Linked DNA regions of Diceros bicornis minor. The protein of the gene in region 1 purifies or fractionates together with the protein of each later gene. This does not show direct contact. Links are inferred from orthologs where the notes say so. Each region holds a gene or a part of one and is shown on either strand. Other genes may lie near its edges. The genes, in order: ITGA2 and ITGB1.

Region 1 (9,777 bases):
AGTCTGTGTGGTCTGCCAGGACTCTCTAAGAATCTCTGTGCCCTGAAACCAGATCCCTGGGAGAGAATCTGATCGATCCAGCCTGGGTCAGGTGTCTACCCATATCACCAGGAGGCAGGGTCATGTGACTTGATGACTTCCAGAAGGGAATTATGGCAAACTCAGCATGACCTGTGGGCAGAGCTGGCAGGCAGATTGCTTTGCATATCTGCCAGACACAAAAACAAATAAAGACAATCAACCCTAGAAGTGCTAACATAGAAGTATCAATAAAATGTGTAGGCATATTAATGAGTCCAGGAAGAATTATTTTACTTTTGTTTATTTGTTTTAAGCTCAAAGCATCTCTTTTATTTTTGGACATTATGCAACTCAGGTGGTGCCTGGAGACCTGTGGGTGAGTCAAACTCAATGGATTCCGAGCTTCACTCCACCTTATCATGGATTTACTGGGTAACATTTGAGGAATCGCTGGTTACTTCATTTCAGATTTTCCAGGACTTACATAGAATTTCACATTCACTGCCCTTTTTAGGTCTAGGGAGAAGAATATGGAACTGTTAGGAAATTCATTTCAATTTAGTAACTATTTTTAGCAACTTATTTGCCAGGTATAGGATTAGACTCTTGTGATATAATCGTGTAAGATTTCAGAGATCCAGCATTGAAGTGAGAAGGTGGATTAGTAATTAAATTTAATTCACACCATAATACATACAAAAGAAAGATTTTTTTTTTTTTTTTTGAACTAGGGGAGCCAGGAGCCAAGAAAGAATAATTGGTTCTGAATAAAGGAAAAGGCTGGGCAGGTAATATAAAATTCGATTGGAGCCTTGAAGTAGAATTTTAAAAAATGGATAAAAGAGAGAAAGCCATCTTAGGCAGAAAAAGAGCTAAGGACTTAGCAAAGAAGAATGGGAGCAGCAGGTCGCTGGAGAGGTGAATTTGCCCTAAGCGTGGGATTCAGGGCAGCAGGTCGGGGGGAGAGACTGGGGGTTGGTAGGAGAGGCTGCAGAGGCATGTTGGGGGTCATCTGGGAGCCTAAACGCTAAGGTACTTGAACTTCATCCTGTAGACATCCAAAGATTTTCAGTAGATCAATCCTGCCATTTAGAAAGAGAACTGGGATGATGGTCTAAAGGGTAGACCAGAGACAGGGAGGAGGAAGCCCAGAGAGATTGTTTAGGAGACTGTCATCATGGTGAAAGATCAAAAGGGCTTTAACTAACGCAAGTAGCAGTAGAACAGAGAATAGGAAGTGGCATAGATAACCATGGTAGAGAGTAAAGACAGAATTGATATGGCCTGGCAAGGAGGCCTGTTAGTAACCCCACACACGAAAAGCAAAACTTTCTGGTTTAGGTGATTGTATATGTGGAATGAGATAAGCAAAGAAGAGCCAGATATGAAGATAAAAAGAGGTCAGAGGGGAACAGTGGGAAAATATACCTCTGAGCCTCCTCCCTTAGTGAGGAGAGGCCTCACTCCATCCCTTAGCAGTTCTTCGACTGTGGTCCCTGGGTGTCTCAAGACCCTTTCAGGTGCTTAATAGGTCAAAATGATTTCCATAATAATACTGAGACGCTATTCGTGTTTTTCACTGTGTTCACATTTACCCTGATGGTGCAAGAGGAAGGGAGAGGAGGCGGGAGGGAGAGAGGGAAGAAAGAAGGGAGGAAGGAAGAAGGAGGAGCTAGTTTCACTTAAGAATACCCTTGATAAATCAGTAAATTTATTACTTTAATAAATCTTGACCCTTGAGTATGTCTTTTGAATATTTTGCATGCGTTAATCTGGGCAGTACACATAAAGCACTTCTGCTGTGCACTGAAGTAGGACGGTTGTCTCAACGATGCCTAAACTGAATGTGCCATTTTTTTCATGAAACATTAGTTTTACCTGAAAGAACAATTGATATATAACTTATGGTTGCTCAGACTTGGGTAGCCGACAGACATTTCTAAAAAATGAACAAAGTGGGCTTTTCATTTCAAGCAAAACAACTGACAGTATTTGTTGCCAACGATAAAATTCCAGCTTTCAAGTGAAAATTAGAATTTTGGAAATGTGTATCTACCAGCATAAGCTTGACATTTTCCCAATATGTAGAGACTTTTCTGATGAGATAGGTGGTGACAGGATTTTTTTTGATATTGTGTACTGAAAGGTGTCAACAATTGGAAGATCTGCATAACTCAGTGAACCAATAATTTCCAAATGCTAATGCATCTTGGGACAAAATCTTGCATGGGTAAAAGATCTGTTCAAAGGGCTCATAGACCAATGAATTTGAATGCACTGGGGTAGGAAAAGTTCATTGATATGGTTTCAGATTCCACATTACAACTAGTCTTGAAGAAACCACCACTTGTCGAGTTTTGGTGCAGTGTCTGAAGAATATCCACAATTATGTCCTGTTTTTCCAACTGCATATCTGTATGATGCCAGATTAATTCATATAATTTAACCAAAACTACATATCACACAGATTGAATGCAGAAGCAGATATGAAAATCCAAGTGTTTATTTTTAAGCCAGATATTAAAAAGATTGGCAAAAATGTACAATAATGCCATTCTTCTCATGAATTCTTTTATTTTGGGGAAATATCGTTATTTTTCACAAAATATATGTTATTTATGTTAACATGTAATAGGCTTATTGTTATTTTAAAATAAATTAGTACATAAATATTGGAAAATGTATCTGTTTTAATTTCTTATATAGTAAACATTAATAGAAATAATCCACATAGAAGTTCTTTGGGATGCTCAATAAATTTTTTTCAAACTTGATTGAGGTATAATTGACAATTTAAAATTGTATACATATGGTATACATCATTATGTTTTGATACACATACACATTGTGAAATGATTATCACAAGCTAATTAACATATCCATCACCTCACATAGTTACCATCTTTGTGTGTGTGTGTGTGTGTGTGTGTGTGTGTGTGTGTGTGGTGAGAACACTTAAGAACTACTCTCTTAGCAATTTTCGAGTATACGATACAGTATTGTTAACTGTAGTCACCAGGCTGTACATTAGAGCCCCAGAACTTATTCATCTTACAACTGGAAGTTTGTACCCTTTGACCAACGTCTCCCCATTTCCCCCACCCCCAGCCCCTGGTAACCACCATTCTACTCTCTGCTTCTATGAGTTTGACTGTTTTACATTCTACATGTAAATGAGATCATACACTATCTGTTTTTCTCTGTCTGGCTTATTTCACTTAGCATAATGTCCTCCAGGTTCATCTGTGTTTTTGCAATTGGTAGGATAACCTTCTTTTTTGCGGCTGAATAATATTCAGCCATATCTACATACCACATTTTCTTTATCCATTCTTCCGAGGGATCTTCAATAATTTTACGAGTGTAAAGGGCTCCTGAGATCAAAGAGTTTGAGAAGCCCTGCCTTGATCTTCCTTATTTCCTGGTCAGAATGTAGCGTCCAGAACAATTACACCTAGGCAGGATAGTCCCTAGGAAGATTAAGGGGAGAGTTCTCAAAATGTTTTGTCTCAGGAACCCTTGACACTCTTAAAATTAACATGGGGCAGGAGTTGGCTTTTCTTGAAATTTGAAATTTTTGCCTGCTCCAGAAAAACATAGCTCCTGATTTATTCCGTACCTCATGCCAGCATACTGTTGATTTGTTCAGTTCTGAGCACAAAAGGGAAGAAAGGTGCATTTTCCTCTCCAGCACCCAGAGACAAAGCACAAATTCCTGTCTCACATGAAGAGAACTATCTTGCCTCCCAAATAAGGGTCTGTTCCAAATAGTTACTCACATTTCAGTGAGTCAGAAGGAAACAGACAGATATTCATCTCCCTGAAACCTGGCTGACTTTCCACGAGAAGTTGGTGAGGAGAGTCAAACTTGGGTGTCAGGGTTACTGAGCCGCCACCTACGAGCTCTCGGGTGATAGCTAGAGTCTTAGTAAGCAGGTGAGTACCGCAGGCAGGTCAGAGGAAAATGCCCACAAGTGTTTGTCAGGATTAGTAAGTGGAGTTAGTAAGTGACAGATAAGAAAACAGGAAACAACCAGGGGCTATACATTTTGGGTACAAAGGTATTGAGGTTAGAGTCATGATTATAAGCAGTAGCATCTGACAAAAACCAATTTAATACTTTAAAAATTGGAAACTCCAGCCTAGCTATGGTAAAGGGGAACATTTGATTTTTACCAATTAATGAATTCTTTCCCATCTTGAACCACTTTGCTTCATGGTGGCAGTATCCCAAGCATCCTATCTTGCTCATCATACCTGCTCCATAAGACTTGGAATAGTGATAGTAATAATGATTAGACTAATAACTCCTTAAGTTTAATTTATTAAAACATTTGGCTGTTTCACAAAAGTAGTCACTGCAAGAATTCTGGTTTCAGCAACGTGTTGGGAATTTGTGGTTGAACTTTTGGAGGAAAAACCAAATTTAGAGAAAAGTGAATGTCCTGTTCCTAGGTAGGTAAGTAAAAATCTCAGATATGGTTATAGACTGTTCTCTTTCCAGATCTGAGACTGAAATAATGGAAGAAAATGGTCACGGTGTACTATAGACAGAGGAAGAGTCACGAATTCATGTATGGGCTCTCACTCGTCTCTCTCTGTGTCTTGAAGTAAATCGCTTAAATTTAGTAATCAAATCAGCTCCTTGGGCCTGCCCGGTGGTTTAGCGGTGCACGCGCTGCGCTACTGGCGGCCTGGGTTCAGATCCCAGGCGCACACCGACGCCCCCCCCCCCCTCCCGGCTTCTCCGGCCACGCTGAGGCCACATACAGCAACTAGAAGGATGTGCAACTACTACATACAACAGTCTACTGGGGCTTTGGGGAAATAAAGGAGGAGGATTGGCCGTAGATGTTAGCTCAGAGCCCGTCTTCCTCAGCAAAAAGAGGAGGATTAGCACGGATGTTAGTTCAGGGCTGATCTTCCTCACACACACAAAAAAATCAGCTCCTTATCTTGGAGGAGAGGAATGAAAGAAGATTTATACCACACACACACACACACACACACACACACACACACACACACACACACACACGATGCTCTCGCAGCAGGTCTTGCTTAAACATCACCTCGGATAATCATCACTTGTGAGCAGATCTTCTTTCCTGTCCAGTTGGTTTCTAACCTGGTCATTCTGTGCTTATTTTTGTCCGTTTCTCCACCTACCTGGGAAAGGCAGAGAAAGCCACGCACCGCGCAGCCCCTAAGAACTGGGGCTTAGGGCTCGCGGCTCCCCCTGGCCCTCCCACCCCTCCCAGGATCCCGGAGCGGCGAATGGCTGCAGAAGTGCCAGGGTTCTCTTGGGGACCCGGGGGTCTCCTGCGGAGGGGCGTCAGGCTGTCGGGGGTCGAGGTAGTGACAGGCGGGCTCTTGCCCGTCGGATGTGCCCGGCCAGTCCGGTCCAGGGCAGGAAAGGCCCGTCCCCATCCCCAAGGCTTCGGGGATCCCGGGGCTGGGACCGTGCAGGGGAGTTAAGGTGTGGTTTCCGGGGGTGTGGAGGAGCCAGGTGCAGCCCGGGGCGGAGGGCCGGGGCTCGGCGGGGCGGGGCCAGGGCAGATCCGGTGTTTGCCGAGGCAGAGGGGCGGGCCGGGGCGGGCCTTGGCGCCCCAGAAGCTGCCGGGCAACTTTTCCCGGCTCTCACCCGGGAGGAGGAGAGAAGCTCTGGAGACTGCTTTGGAGAGTGTCTGGATTCTTGGATCTCTCTGCAAACCCAGAGCAGCTACAGTCCCCAGGGCAGGCGCAGGATGCGGCCAGGACGGACAGGGGCCGCGCCGCTGCGGCTGGTGTTAGTGCTCAGTCAAGGTAAGCGAGGAGTTTGCTCCGCATCGGCTGCAGGAGGGACCTGCGCGGGTCCCGGGGGCGGGCGGGAGGGGTTATGTGGAATGAGGGCGCAGGCAGCGCGCGTCTCCCCTTGGATATCACGTGGACCAGGCTCCCTGCCATCCGGAGCCGGATGGAGAGACTCCCCATTCCCGCTCTCCCCTGCCTGGTGTCCCCATAATGCGTGTCTCACCCTGTCTGTTAAACACCCTCCAAAGTCATCTCAGTGCGCGCTTTGGTTTTAGACACACGCACGCGCACACATGCATAGAGGGAGTGGAGATTAACGGGTGTCCTGGAGATGGAGAGTCCTGCAGCCTGGCTCAGACAGGTGCCGTGCCACATTGGGACCAGTGGGTTCTGTGGGTCCCCGGAATCCAGTCTTGGGCAGCAGCCTGCACCTCCTCAGCGCCGTGCCTGATGACTTTGCAGGAGCCTGGGAGCCCAAAGTGCTTATTTTTCAGCCCAAGGGTATGAATAATGCCTGTATTTCTTCAGGACGCAGCACTGACGTTTCCTCCCATAGGGTACATAGAAAAACCAAGTGCCTCTTAAATACTTGGCAGAGGGGAATTCTTCCTTCCTTCTGCCTTCCTCTTGTTGTAACGTCGTCTGCTCAACGAAAGTAAACTTAGGCCAGGAAAAGTTCTTTCCACTTGCTTGATCTTAGCCGCCAGAATTCACCGGAGCAGCAGCTGCAGCTGCAGGGCGGTGAGAGTGGGGCCCACCCATCGCCCGACTCCTTTTGCACTGAGAGGGGAAGTGAGGCTGGGGTGCTGAGCTGCTGTGCGACCATCGTCCACCAAGAGAACTGTCCCCAGACCTTATCCAGAGCCTAGAATGTGCTTACTTGAAGAACTTCAGTTTACTTGGTGGGAAAGAAGCCACATTTGTATTTTGTAGTTTGAACAGCTATCAAAACAAAAAAAATGGTCTCTGATTTTCAAGTGTTTTCACAAAGAAGATAAATATTTCCTAAACTGTCCTCCTTTCGAGGCATTTAGCCAGTCGCTATTTTTTATTGTGGAAGAAACCTAGTCCAGATGGACCCTGTAGCATTTTCTCCAGGTCAGAGATAACAGAGAAATAGCACCACCATCCCCACGCCCAGCAGAGAATAGGCATCAATAGGTTTTCTCTCTAACCCTGTGTCTGGTGCTTCACAGATATTCTTTCTGGGGACTCCAAGAGTGTTTTGAGAGGCCATCAACCCTAATTTAGGGGTTTCAGATAAAGTTGGATTCACATTGAAAATTAGTCCCTGGAACATGGCAACCTTCCCAAGAGCTAATAGACGTTTAATTCCAAGCTTTGCATTTCTCTTTAATTATCCATTAACAGAAGCTATGGAAACATAACATCATTTTCTTATCTTTGAGCTGTTGAGGCTTGTTTTTTAAAGGGGAATGAGAAATACTTTGATGGAATGTGTTGCTGCAAGGCATGAGGTCAGGTACAGAGATTTTCACCTGGAGTTATTTGCTAAGGACAACTCAATGCAAGCAAGCAGAGGTGATCTGAAATGACATCTGTGAAAATATGTTGCATGTTTATTCCTTCCTTCTGCTCCAGTTGTTTGCATACTCAAGGAACAGGTTTTCTTTTAATTCAGGATGATCATAATAAAGCTTTGTCATCTGTGATATCAGTCGAGGTTCCTATGGAAGCAGCATCATTTTTTTGAACCATGAATATCCAAAATTAACATGAACAAATGAAATCTTTAGGTCCGTGATAGCTGAAATTTTTTATGGCATTACCCTATCTGTATAAAATTTTGGAGTATTTGTCATTACTATACACACACAGATATAGTTGTTTACAAATTATATACATGTACAATTGTTTTATATAAATACATACCAAAAATTAAAATGTAAAAGGCATATATGTGTGTGTCTTTATATATCTTCATCCTCTCCAGCATACACACCAACCACTGTGGAAACTTAAAACCCTCAAATCTCATTTAACACTTAGATGCACATTCGCTTTTCATAAACCTTCTCACGGGTATTTAAGAAACAGCGATATTCATAGTTTGGTTCCATATTATCACCTTTCATTGGTCATTCCTGGGTTTAAGTGCTTGCAGTCATGAGACCTAGATAATCCCTAAACTAAATAATAGGTCTGTGGAGAAAAGTGAAATGTAATTTTAAAATGATGATGTCACACATTCTCAGGTGTGTTGCCAGGCCAAGGACAATCCTCCCCCTGGGTTCTAGGCCTCATCTTCTCTCACTGCCTCTGGTACCCTGCACCAGTCATCCCCTCTTTAAGGAATATCTTCACATCCTCTCTCTAATTTTCCCTCAGGCTGTAAATAATTCTAGTTTCTCTCATAGTAAGCAACTCCTCCTTTTAATATGTAATTTGGCAGCTCCTTCCTCCTGAAACACTCTCCACCTCTGGCTTCTGCTCTTTTCTCCTATTTTCCCGGCTGTTCTTTCTTAGTCTCCTTCACAGGCTCATCTGTTTGGCCCGGTCCTTGGTGTTCACAGAGTTCCATCCTGGATCCTCCTCTTCATTCTACCAATTCTCTCTGGGCCAGTTCCCTGCTCAAGTCATTATCTCCAGCCAGACTCCCCTCCTGAGTTCCAGATCACTATTTCCATCTGCTACCAAGTATCTCCACCTAGATGTCATAAAAGCACGTCAAACTCCACATGTCCTCAACTGAGGTCAACACCTGTCCTTTGAAATTTTCTCTTATATCTTCTACTATTGTTTAATGGCAGCAATATCGTGTATTCCTAAAACTAGGAATCCTTTCCCTCGTTTTCACCCTCACGGCCAATCTCTCAGGTTCTGTTCTCTCTCCTCTCCAACTCATGCAACTTCTGCAACCACCCCGTTCAGGCCCTTGCTTTTTTTGTGTCTGGACAACTACAGTTTTAAAATTGGTTGTCCTGTTTTTGTCTCTTATCCGTCCAGTCCATTCTCCTCATTGTCACCAATGTTACTTTCTGAATGCTTACCTGTATTCAATCACTGCCTTGATTAAACGTTTGGTCCTTCGCCATCTGGCCGCAGCCTGCCTATTCAGTCTTTCCTCTACCACATCCACTCCTGCACACACTTAATGCACAAGCTCACACACTACACATATGCACACACAATACACACACCCCAAAGCCATGTATATCCACCCTTCTGTGTTCTGACTGCACCTGATTATCTTATATTTAGTGTTATAATATTTTCCAGACTATTCTCTTTGCTTTCACTGCCTTGATGCTTTTTATCTTTCTCTCTCATCCCTTTGCAAACGACCGTTGTCCAATGTTAGAAGAGACAATCTCAAGCAGAATTATAAAGTAGGGAAGTTTTTCTTTTGTAACAAAAAAAGGAAGCTTGAGATAATCTCTCATTTCTGGGACTAACTCTAAACTACCTCTCTCCTCTCATCCTCAGCCCCTCAACAGACTTAGGCCCCCCTCTGAGAACGTAACTCCTCCCACCCCGGGGCTCTCCAGCTGTACCTGCTATACCTGCCCAACCTCCGCTGAGCTTTGCTCTCTTAAATACTGGCTTATGAGCCACTGTTTGATTTAAAGTCATGGATTGGGGCTCAGGATTCAGTATTTAAAAACAATTACTCATATGTTTCTGATGTACAGCCAAGTTTAGAAGTAATTGCTTAAATATTAGCACTGCACCTCCTCTTTCCTAACGAATTAAATTTCCAGTGTTGCCTGTACTACCTGGTTGTGAGATGACCACCAAGACAGGTAGATTTCAACACAGGAGTCAGTGAATGCCTCAGTTTGAGTGAATTCCCTCTAAAGTGGGTGCTGACTGCTCCTGTCTCAGTGCTAACAGCCTTGGGCATATTAAAAGGGAGAAGCCTATTAATGTAAAAAGATGAGCTTGTAATGATGGAATGTTAGACATTCAGCAAAATAAAGACACATTTAGTTAGTGTGTCAA
Region 2 (9,789 bases), on another chromosome or scaffold:
TGGCTCCTGTTGCACACACCTCCTAAAAAAGAGACAGATTTTTTTCAACTGCCTACTGAAATATTCTAAGGCTGCTACTGTTCTGGGTTCTATGGACTGCAGCTCCTTTAACCTAAGTATGTACTGTAATATTTTTTCAGTTTTCTACAGCTACAGACACGGCTACCACTTCAGGACCCTGATGACTAATGTGCTCTTTCCTACCCTTATTCCTGTCAACCCTTCCTCCCTACCACAAGACTCCCACCTCTGCAACAACATAAAAGGACAACAATCCTATAATATATAACCGAAGTCAGAACAGACCTGCTAATACGACAAGAGATATTTACATATTGGCACAATATAATCCTCTAGGATTCTACCCACAACCTGACAGATCTAACTCTCCATGTAGAGTGGGGAAATGTAAAATTTAACAACAGTCCATACGAATCCTTTCGGAAATTTAGCTTGTTACAAGTTTAGAAATTTAAATTCTTAGAACTCAAAAGTTCTGAAACTTTTACCAGTTAGATGTTTCATCTCATCACCCTAGAGTGTAGTTAAGAGCAAAACAGTGCACTTACAGAATATTAAAGAAAAATATTTTCTTCGGATAGAATATTACACTACTCCCCCCATGCTGTGAGCCACAGTTTATTTCACAAGAAGCCAAACAAATAAAGATATTAAGTGGCCAGAGTTCCATGAAAACTAACACTATGTTAAACTGTTTGACTAATTTTCACTATTTCATAAAGTTATAAAGTGACCAGAGGTCCCCAGAGTCTCTCTCGGAGTTAAGAATTTATCAACACCAACAGAGAACTGCATATTCATTCAGTGATGGTAATTTGGGGCAGATTTTAATTATACTGATCAGAAAGTTAAGAAGAAAACCACCGGATTGTTAAAATTACTAAATCCAGTGATTTTCAATATCATTGATTCTATACTTTTCATGTGCAGAATGTCGAGGGGATTAGAAAAATAATCTTAATATAGAACTTGACATTCTTTTTATTTATTTATTTTTGTGTGTGTGTGAGGAAGATCAGCCCTGAGCTAACGTCCATGCTAATCCTCCTCTTTTTGCTGAGGAAGACCGGCTCTGAGCTAACACCTATTGCCAATCCTCCTCCGTTTTTTTTTTCCCCCAAAGCCCCAGGAGATAGTTGTACGTCATAGTTGCACACCCTTCTAGTTTCTGTATGTGGGACGTGGCCTCAGCATGGCCAGAGAAGCGGTGCGTCAGTGCGCGCCCGGGATCTGAACCTGGGCCGCCAGTAGTGGAGCTCGTGCACTTAACTGCTAAGCCATGGGGCTGGCCCCCAAACTTGACATTCTTTTTAAAAGAATCAACATCACAAAAACAAAAGTTTAGGTCTGTGAAGTCCACGCAGATGACTTAATGTGGAGTTTATCTGCTCTTTATTTACAGAAGTATTAACCACATCCCGTCTTTCTTTTTTTTTAATAACTTTTTAAGTGTAGCAAAATATACATAACATAAAACTCACCATCTTAACTGTTTTTAAGTGTACAATTCACCATATTAAATACATTCACACTGTTGTGCAACCATTACCACCAACCATCTACAGACTCTTCATCTTGCAAAACTGAGTCTGTACTCATTAAACAACAACTCCCACACTCCTTTTCGCCAGCCCCTGGCAACCACCCTTCTACTCCGTCTCTCTGAATCTGGCTTCTCTAGGTACCTCATAGAGGCGGAATCAGACAGTATTTGTCCTTTTGTGACGGGCTTATTTCACTCAGCATAATGTGCTTCCCCTTACTTTTCAAGAGCAGGAAAGTGGGAGCAATGGAGTTGGGCTTCTTTTTAAAAAGTCGTTTCTTGAAATGTTGTTGTCTTCTAATTCAACTAGAGCTCACCATCGCAGATAACAGCTTTGGACATTATGCTCATGCATCCCCTGTCTTTTTAACTGGCATTCTAATAACATCCATTTTATACTGAATTTTAGCATAAGTAAAATGGATTTGCCTCAAACGCCTGTAACCAAAATACTGATTTGTTTCATCTGTTTTCTAATTATCACTGCCTCGTCTTCAGTTACATAATACTGATCACAGAACCAAAATTATTTAAAAATATCACCGTTATTGGGACTCTTAAGTAAGTCCTGTCCCCTCTGGGCCTTGATGTCCACAAACGTAAAATAAATAACTTCCAACTAAAATTCCTTAATCATTTCTAAAAGTAGTCTATTATACAATCTATTGCAAAAGCTGTATTTAGTTTAAGAAAGACGCCAAATCAAAATTCACTTCACATTTATTTTCATACCATCAAAACAACAATAAAAAATAACAACCCAGTAATTCTACCACCTAAGTATCTACGTGGGATGCAGACCCCAAAAAACCTTACTAATGATGTTATCAATTACATGCTGAGATTTTTTTTAATCATTTAATATACTAAGAAGGAAGGAAAAGAGATCAATATTTATTGAGCTTCTACTCTAACCTAAGTGTTTTACATTTTACGTGTGATTTTTCACAACTATACTGTACTTACGGAAGATTACTTGTGGTTCAAACATGGTCTAGACAAGGTTTCTCCACCTACTAGCTGGATGACCACAGGCAAATGACTTATGCTCCCTTCGCCTCAGTTTCTTCATTTATAAAATGGGGATAAAAACGGCACCTACCTCACGGATCAGTTCCAGAATTAAACGACAAAATACATGTAAAAGTGCCTAGAGCTACACATGGCCCTCACTGTCGTTCTTATAATAATTAATTACTACTGTTATTAGTGTAGGTATTCTTGTTCCCATTTCAAAGATAAGGAAATGGAAGCTTAAAGAATGTAAATGACTAGTGATCATACCAACCAGTACTAGGTTTTGACTCAAAAGCACAAATTTGATCAAATAAAAATTACTTAGGCATTAAACACTGGTATTCTTAAAAATAGAACTTGTTTTTAGGAAGCATAAGAAATGACACATAGTAAGCCGGCATCAGAACCGGTCGGGCACTAAACCCTGCGGGGACGCCGGGAGGGCCGGCCGGGCCCTGCGCGCTCAGGGCGCCCGGCCCAGGACGCGGCTCCCTCCGGCCCCTGCGGGCGCCGGCCGCCCCGCCTGCCGAGGTATCCGGCACTCCAGTGCGGCTCTTTTAAATATTAAGCGGAAAAAAAAAAACCCCACCATATGCCAACGCTGCGCCCTCTTCTCCTAGCTGCTCTCCGACGCCCCCTCTTGTTCAGGTCCACCCCCCCTTCATCCCACGCCACAGGCGCTGAGAGCCAGCACCCAACTTCTGGAAGTGGGAAGGACGAACAATTTTCCTTATGTGGAAGCTAATGACTAAGCTCAACGTTGCTCAAAGAAAGAGCAGCCCGCGCCCGAGACGGAGACAAAGAGCAACTGTCAAGGATCGTTCCAAGTCCTGGGACGGCGCGTCCCGGGAGGCCCCGTCCGCGCCCGCACTGCGCGCCGCGGCGGCGGAGGGGACCCGGGCGCGCGGGGCGAGCTCCCTCTCCGGCGCCCAGGCCGCGCGTCCGGCACGGGGCGCTGTGAATGGCAGGCGTCTGAGCGGCCGGTCGGGGCCCCGGTCCTCGCACCCCGCGCCCCCGACGTGACAGCGCCCAGGCCGGCGACCCTCCCACTCGGACCGCGGGGGCCGGCTCTGCGCGCTCGGGCCGCCGGCGCGCGGGAGGGACGGAGGCGGCGGGGAGGGGGCCAAGGTCCGCGAGAGAAGCCTGGAGGGCGGGCGCCGGCCGGACTTCCCTTCCTGCCCGAAGGCTGGAATCCGCCTCCCCCACCCCGGCCGGACAGAGAGGTCCCGGCCTGGCCGCGGCGGGCGGCCCGAGGTCCGGCCGCGCACCCGGGCCCGGAGGCCGCCGCCCGCCCCGTGCCGGGCCCCTACCTTCTCCGGGCGGCGTCCGGGCCCCGGCCGGTCGGCTTGGGCCTGCTGCTCCGCGGCTCCCGCTCGGCCTCTCCCGAGGGCTGGCGCGGCCTCCCGGTCTCGGGCGCGGCGGGCGGCGGCGACCCCGCCTCCTCGGGGGCGGGAGGAGGAGACTCGGCCCCCGGAGCCGCCTCCCGCAGGAAACGACCCCCGCGGCACCGCCTCCTCGGCGCGGCCGAGCCTGCTCCTCGGGCCGCCGCCGCCGCCCTCTCCCTCCGGAAGCGCATTCCTCTCCGGCCGCGTCAGCCGCGCCCCAGGCGAGGAGGAGGCGCGGGCGGCGGAGGCGGCGGGAAGACCGAGGCCGGGACAAAGGAGCTGGCCCGGGGAGCCGCGCTGGGAGGGCGGGGCACGGGACCGGCGGAGGCCTTCGCCGTGCCTCAGTTTTCTTTTCTGCTAAGCGGGAGCGGGAGGTGTAAGGCCTCGGCGAGCGTTAATCGTATCCTCCCATAAGAGAAGGCCGGACGGGCCGTGGGCAACCCGGGGCGGGACTCTCCTTTTCCGCCTCTCTTAGGTTCTGCTTCCCCGAAGCCGCAGGTCTGTCTGTCCGACCCACCGTCCCGTTTGCCGGGGGGACTGTCCCGGGAGCCCCTTCAGTCCCAGGCAAATCGAGGCAGGGCTTCGTGGGGCCCGAAAATGTTTTCCTTTTGAAAGGGAATTAGCCAAAGCCAATACTGTTTTTCTGGAGTGATAGTTTGCTTGGCTTATGTGTATGAGGAAGGTGAAGACTTAGGAAGGAGATGGGTGCCAACAAAGATGGAGACGAAGAATATTTTAGAGAATAACTGGTGAGTTGGGGAGTTGCTTTTGTTACATTAATCTGGAGGTCCATTTATGGGGAACAGGCATGTGAAGGAAAAGTTTCATCCTTAAGAATACAGTTTCTTTTGATTTTCACTTTTTTTAGTAGGTGGAGATGGGGGCTGGAGAAGGAACATTTAAAAGAGAAGGGAAACATTCATTACGAGAATGGCTGGGCACATTTTGATAAGAGAATTGAAACCTGTGCCAACATCATACTGAAACCCAGTAATTCAGAATATGCTGTTGACAAGCTGCCATTCTGTTAGAAAATGTGAGTTGCCAGCTGGTGAGCTGCAGCACCCCGTGGGGAATAGAGCTCAAATTATGAGATTTGTGAAACTGAGAAGTAGTGTTTCACTTGGGGGAGATTAGAAGCTGGGATGCCCATTTGATTGCCAATCTTAAATAAGAGAAAATAAAATAATACCATCTATGGAAAATTTGCACATTGCTCACCAGCAAAAGCAAATCTGTTGACTAGATAATCTCTGAAAACCTCTAAAGAAGTTAGCATGATCTTTCCCACTTAATGGTTGACCAAGGTTAAGAGGCTGAATGATGTTTCTATATTAGTAACCCAATTGTAAAGCTGCCACTAGACCTCAACATTCTTGAATTTAAAGGTGTTGGTTATACCACTATTCCAAATGAATCAGAATTGGCTGAGGCTCAGCATAGGAAATTATAGTTCTAAAGATAAAGTGGAATTGATTGATGCTTGATTTGCACTACATTTCCCAGAATTTTCTTCCCTGTATATGATTTGAGGAGGCGATCTTTGCCACAAGAACATTATGAGTTTTACGTTTGCACAACCCTAAACTAAATTAGTTCAAGGGCAGTTTAATTATCTTTTTAATCCCAGGGTCAAACACTGTTCCAGGACACATAATGGGGGCTCAGCTAATGTTTGATAAATGAATAAATGGGTCCTTTTGCTACCCTGGGACCAGGCCAGAGCATTTGGCTAAACTGAAGTGTGAGTAACAATTTATGTATGAGAGTCATGAGCTTTGAGGAAAAGAGAAATTAAAGAAACATGTTCTTTAAGATAAGCAGTGATTGGTCAGGAGTATGACTCTACTTGTAATTTCATATAAATATTAACCGATGGACAGTTAGCTAACTATAAAATTTTTGAACACTCCAAACAAGGGTTGGTCAGTCACCATGCGCAACAGGAAATCCTGGTAAGTAAGAATAGTGGGAGTCACATTGCTTAACCACATCATGATAGAACATCTAATAGTATTTTGAATTTAAGACAAATCATACTTTACCTACACTGTCTCCCAATTATTATAAATTGTCTTCTGACATCTCGTCATAACTCATTATGTCAAATAATTAAAAGTTGGCCTTTCCTTTAGTTTTGGCGCCATACTACCATATACTCTTCAAAATGTCTTTATTCACCTACTGTTTTCCGAAGTAAAGTTTCAAAGTTGTTCACCAGCAAAGACTTGATTGGATGCCCAAGTTCATTTTAATCATTAATAATTACAAATTACAGATAATAATTACAAATATTTCTATTTTTAATTAAAGGATAGGCTTACATAAATGAAAGGAACCATTAATATTAAGTCAGGTACAAAAGAGCCTAAAGGCTTCTCTAGAAACCTGATTATCTCTTTCAAACATCACAGTTTGATTACTGCCCTTCAGATCTAGTAGGTTGTATTTAATCACCTGATTATGGAATATGGGATTGGGAGGGAGAGTGAGTGGAGAGCTGTCTTTTTCTTGTAGTTTGAGCACTCTTGGGACTTAGCCTTTCAAATATGACTCCATCCAGTAAATCACAAATCATCCTATGCTAACTTGAATGCTTTTCAGTCTTTCAGAGTGGAAACAACCCTAACCAGTGTAAACTTTTGTGGGCAGGTAGCTCAGTACACATTCCTTTATAAATCATTTACCACATGCAACAGTCATCAGAGGGCAAGACCTCATGGGGTTTGAACAAAGGATGAATACCTGCATTGTGAGAATAGTATACCCAAGACCAAATATTTTTTGGTATTGGCCATTGACTGACACATTGTGGCACAATCCATACCAGATCATTTTTAAGTAAGCAGGGTGACTTTGTGTCCCGGTATGCCCAAGATAGCCCCAGTTTGTCTGTTGTCCAAGCATAATTATCAATAGCACCCCTTTTCAGTCTCAAAAGTACATCCTGATATGGTTAATAGATTATATGGTCAGTCACCCTATAAATAAGAGTGTCCAGACAATGAATAATGAGAAGAGTAGTTTTAGAAATTCAAAGGGGATACACAGGGACACTGCAAATCAGGCTCCAGGTTGATAGGTGAAGACTAATTCTAACATTGATGATAAGGAAAAAAATTGTGTGGGGCAGGAGTGTGCTGAATTAGGCAGTTCCTATGTGATGAAAATGCCCTACTAGGAGATTTAATTAAGGAAAATCCTTGGAAGTAGCCTGGCTAATCAACAAGACTTGGGTTTTAAATACCATTTAAATATCTGTGATGGCTTCTGGAGCAGACTGATTGACAGTGGCTAGTGAGTCTTCAGCCTCTTTTCTAAGAACTGTTTCTACAGAGTGACCTAGATATATTTTTCTCATCTGCCACCTCCGGATGCTTAGAATTTAACTCCTTTAAACATTAAAAAAAGAAAAAGACAGCGGATGGGGATAGAAGGAATAGAAGTCTCTGATAATGCCCTCTAATACTAACGTGGAGGTGCTTCTGAATCATAAATAACTCCATTCCTTTTTCTGAGAAACTAAACTCCCTCTATTAAAATGTGAATCTGTGTGCTTTGGTAAAAAAAGCAGCCCTGGGAATTACTGGCATTTTGAAAAACAAGAAATGGTAAGACAGTCCTTCTAGTTCCTCCTTTTTCTGTCTCCAAATATATAAATAATATGCAAATAATCATATAGTGTAGAAAAACTGGAAGTTTATTTATTTTGCAACTTTTTGTTTTGGCTTGATGGCTTCAATTTAGAGAGCACTCCTCAATGCCCTGCCATAATTTCCAGAGGACCCATGAAAAATTCAGTTTGCTGCAAGGCAGCCACCCACCTTGTACATATGGCAGGTGTCTGTATTTGACTAGCCTGTCCTGAGGCTTTAGTTAGTGCTTTATTCCTTTGCTTATTTAAAAGTAAGGTGGCAAATGTCAGAACAGTCTGGCCTGATTTGCAATGTGTCCCTTATAGTTTAGGCTAGCCATTAAGTCTTTTCCTTTTCTAGATAGTTAACAGTTGCTAGATTATGGCTTTGAATATGGGTCACGTCTGAGCAAAGCTGCCTCAACCGGTTCTGCTTCCTGATATAGCATCCCCGCTTTTGGTCCTGCTCAGTCCGTGGAGTATTGCCTCCACTGGGTGGGAGCATTCCCTGCCAGCATTCAGATGCTGAACATTTTTAAGAGCCCAGAGGAAACAGTGTTTTTAGGCAGCTCTTTTCAGACACTGGGTTTCTTCAGCTGGAGAAGGGAATGTGCCTTCCCAAATAAGAATGAAGAATATGCCAAATATAAGCAGTTGAATAGCACTGGAGTTATTTTTAGGAACCAGGGTCACTCAATAGAGGAAATGATGGTGCTACCAACAAGTTATGGCTAGTGACTATAAAACAACATTCTTTGTTTCCTCATTTAACTCCTTTTAAGAATATTTGGCAATTTGAATTAAGAGCAGCCTGATTTGAGGCCTGATTCATTAGGGAGTCGGAAGTCTAGGTCAGTTAAAAGATACGTTTGTTTGGTAAGTAAAAGCACCCTATTTCCCCAAATTAATCCCCATAATGTTATCTAAGATTGAGTTCTTGCTGTGTACCAATATATGGGAAACCGTGTGTCTATGAACCCCCTAAAATTTGTAGACAAAATTTCATTTATACATATAGATCTGCATTTCTGCAGATATTTCTGGTTTAAATGGTATCTTAACCCCAAAACATTAAGAATCACTATTTTAAGCTCAGATATAATCAGTTCCTTTTATAGACCAAGAGCCTAAACAAATTTTTTTGTAGTTGCCCTGGAATTTTCAGTTATATGTTTGTTAGTCTTATCTAAAGCAATTTTTGTGTGTGTGTGTGTGTGTGTGAGGAATACTAGCCCTGAGCCAATATCCGATGCCAATCCTCCTCTTTTTGCTGAGGAAGATTGGCCCTGGGCTAACATCTGTGCCCATCTTCCTCTACTTTATATGGGATGCTGCCACAGCATGGCTTGACAAGCGGTGCCTCAGTGCACACTTGGGATCCGAACCTGCGAACTCTGAGCAGCTGAAGTAGAGCACGCGCACTTAACTGCTGCACCACTGGGCCAGCCCCTAAAACAATCTTTTAAACATAAGATAAATGTCCAATATTTTGTTATAGCAAGATTTTCACTGCAGTCTTATTTAACCTGTAGGAGGTAGAACAGAAAAAGCACAATCATTTGTGATCAAACCACACAACTAAAGAGTGTGCTGTTTGTATTTACTTTTCAAGGTAAAATAAACATCAAAGAGAAACTAGAACTTTTTGTTTCAGATTTCCAACTTACATACTAGGACTTAAATGCCTTCAAATTATATTTAAAGGGGCCGGCCCAGTGGCACAAGCGGTTAAGTGTGCACGCTCCGCTGCAGTGGCCCGGGGTTCGCCGGTTTGGATCCCAGGCGCGCACTGACGCACTGCTTGTCAAGCCGTGCTGTGGCAGCGTCTCATATGAAGTGGAGGAAGATGGGCATGGATCTTAGCCCTGGGCCAGTCTTCCTCAGCAAAAAGAGGAGGATTGGCAGATGTTAGCTCAGGGCCGATCTTCCTCACACACACACAAAAAATCATGTCTAAAAATCACCCTGATTAAAAACTGTTGTAAATAAGATATAAGATATAAGCCCTGTTCTCCAGTACCAGCATTTTCAATAATAATAAGGTGATATTTGCATCTCCATCTATGTTACTCCTTGTCTATCACTTAATTTTTATAGATATGTAAATATATAAAAATATATATAATTTAATATGTAACAAATATATATAAATATGTAATTTATATATATATTCTGATATATATGAAAAA

The links.
Region 2: the proteins of ITGA2 (region 1) and ITGB1 purify together in Homo sapiens (co-immunoprecipitation; 3 studies listed by BioGRID and IntAct, with this or other methods). This does not show direct contact. The link is inferred for Diceros bicornis minor from reciprocal best matches to the Homo sapiens genes ITGA2 and ITGB1.

Annotation. Positions count from the first base shown.
Region 1 is NC_080759.1:22,503,698-22,513,474, reverse strand, and holds the start of ITGA2 (integrin alpha-2), read left to right. Parts: upstream 1-5,683; 5' UTR 5,684-5,768; coding exon 5,769-5,826; intron 5,827-9,777. UniProt on the Homo sapiens protein: Integrin alpha-2/beta-1 is a receptor for laminin, collagen, collagen C-propeptides, fibronectin and E-cadherin. It recognizes the proline-hydroxylated sequence G-F-P-G-E-R in collagen.
Region 2 is NC_080775.1:31,096,576-31,106,364, forward strand, and holds the start of ITGB1 (integrin beta-1), read right to left. Parts: upstream 3,997-9,789; 5' UTR 3,892-3,996; intron 1-3,891.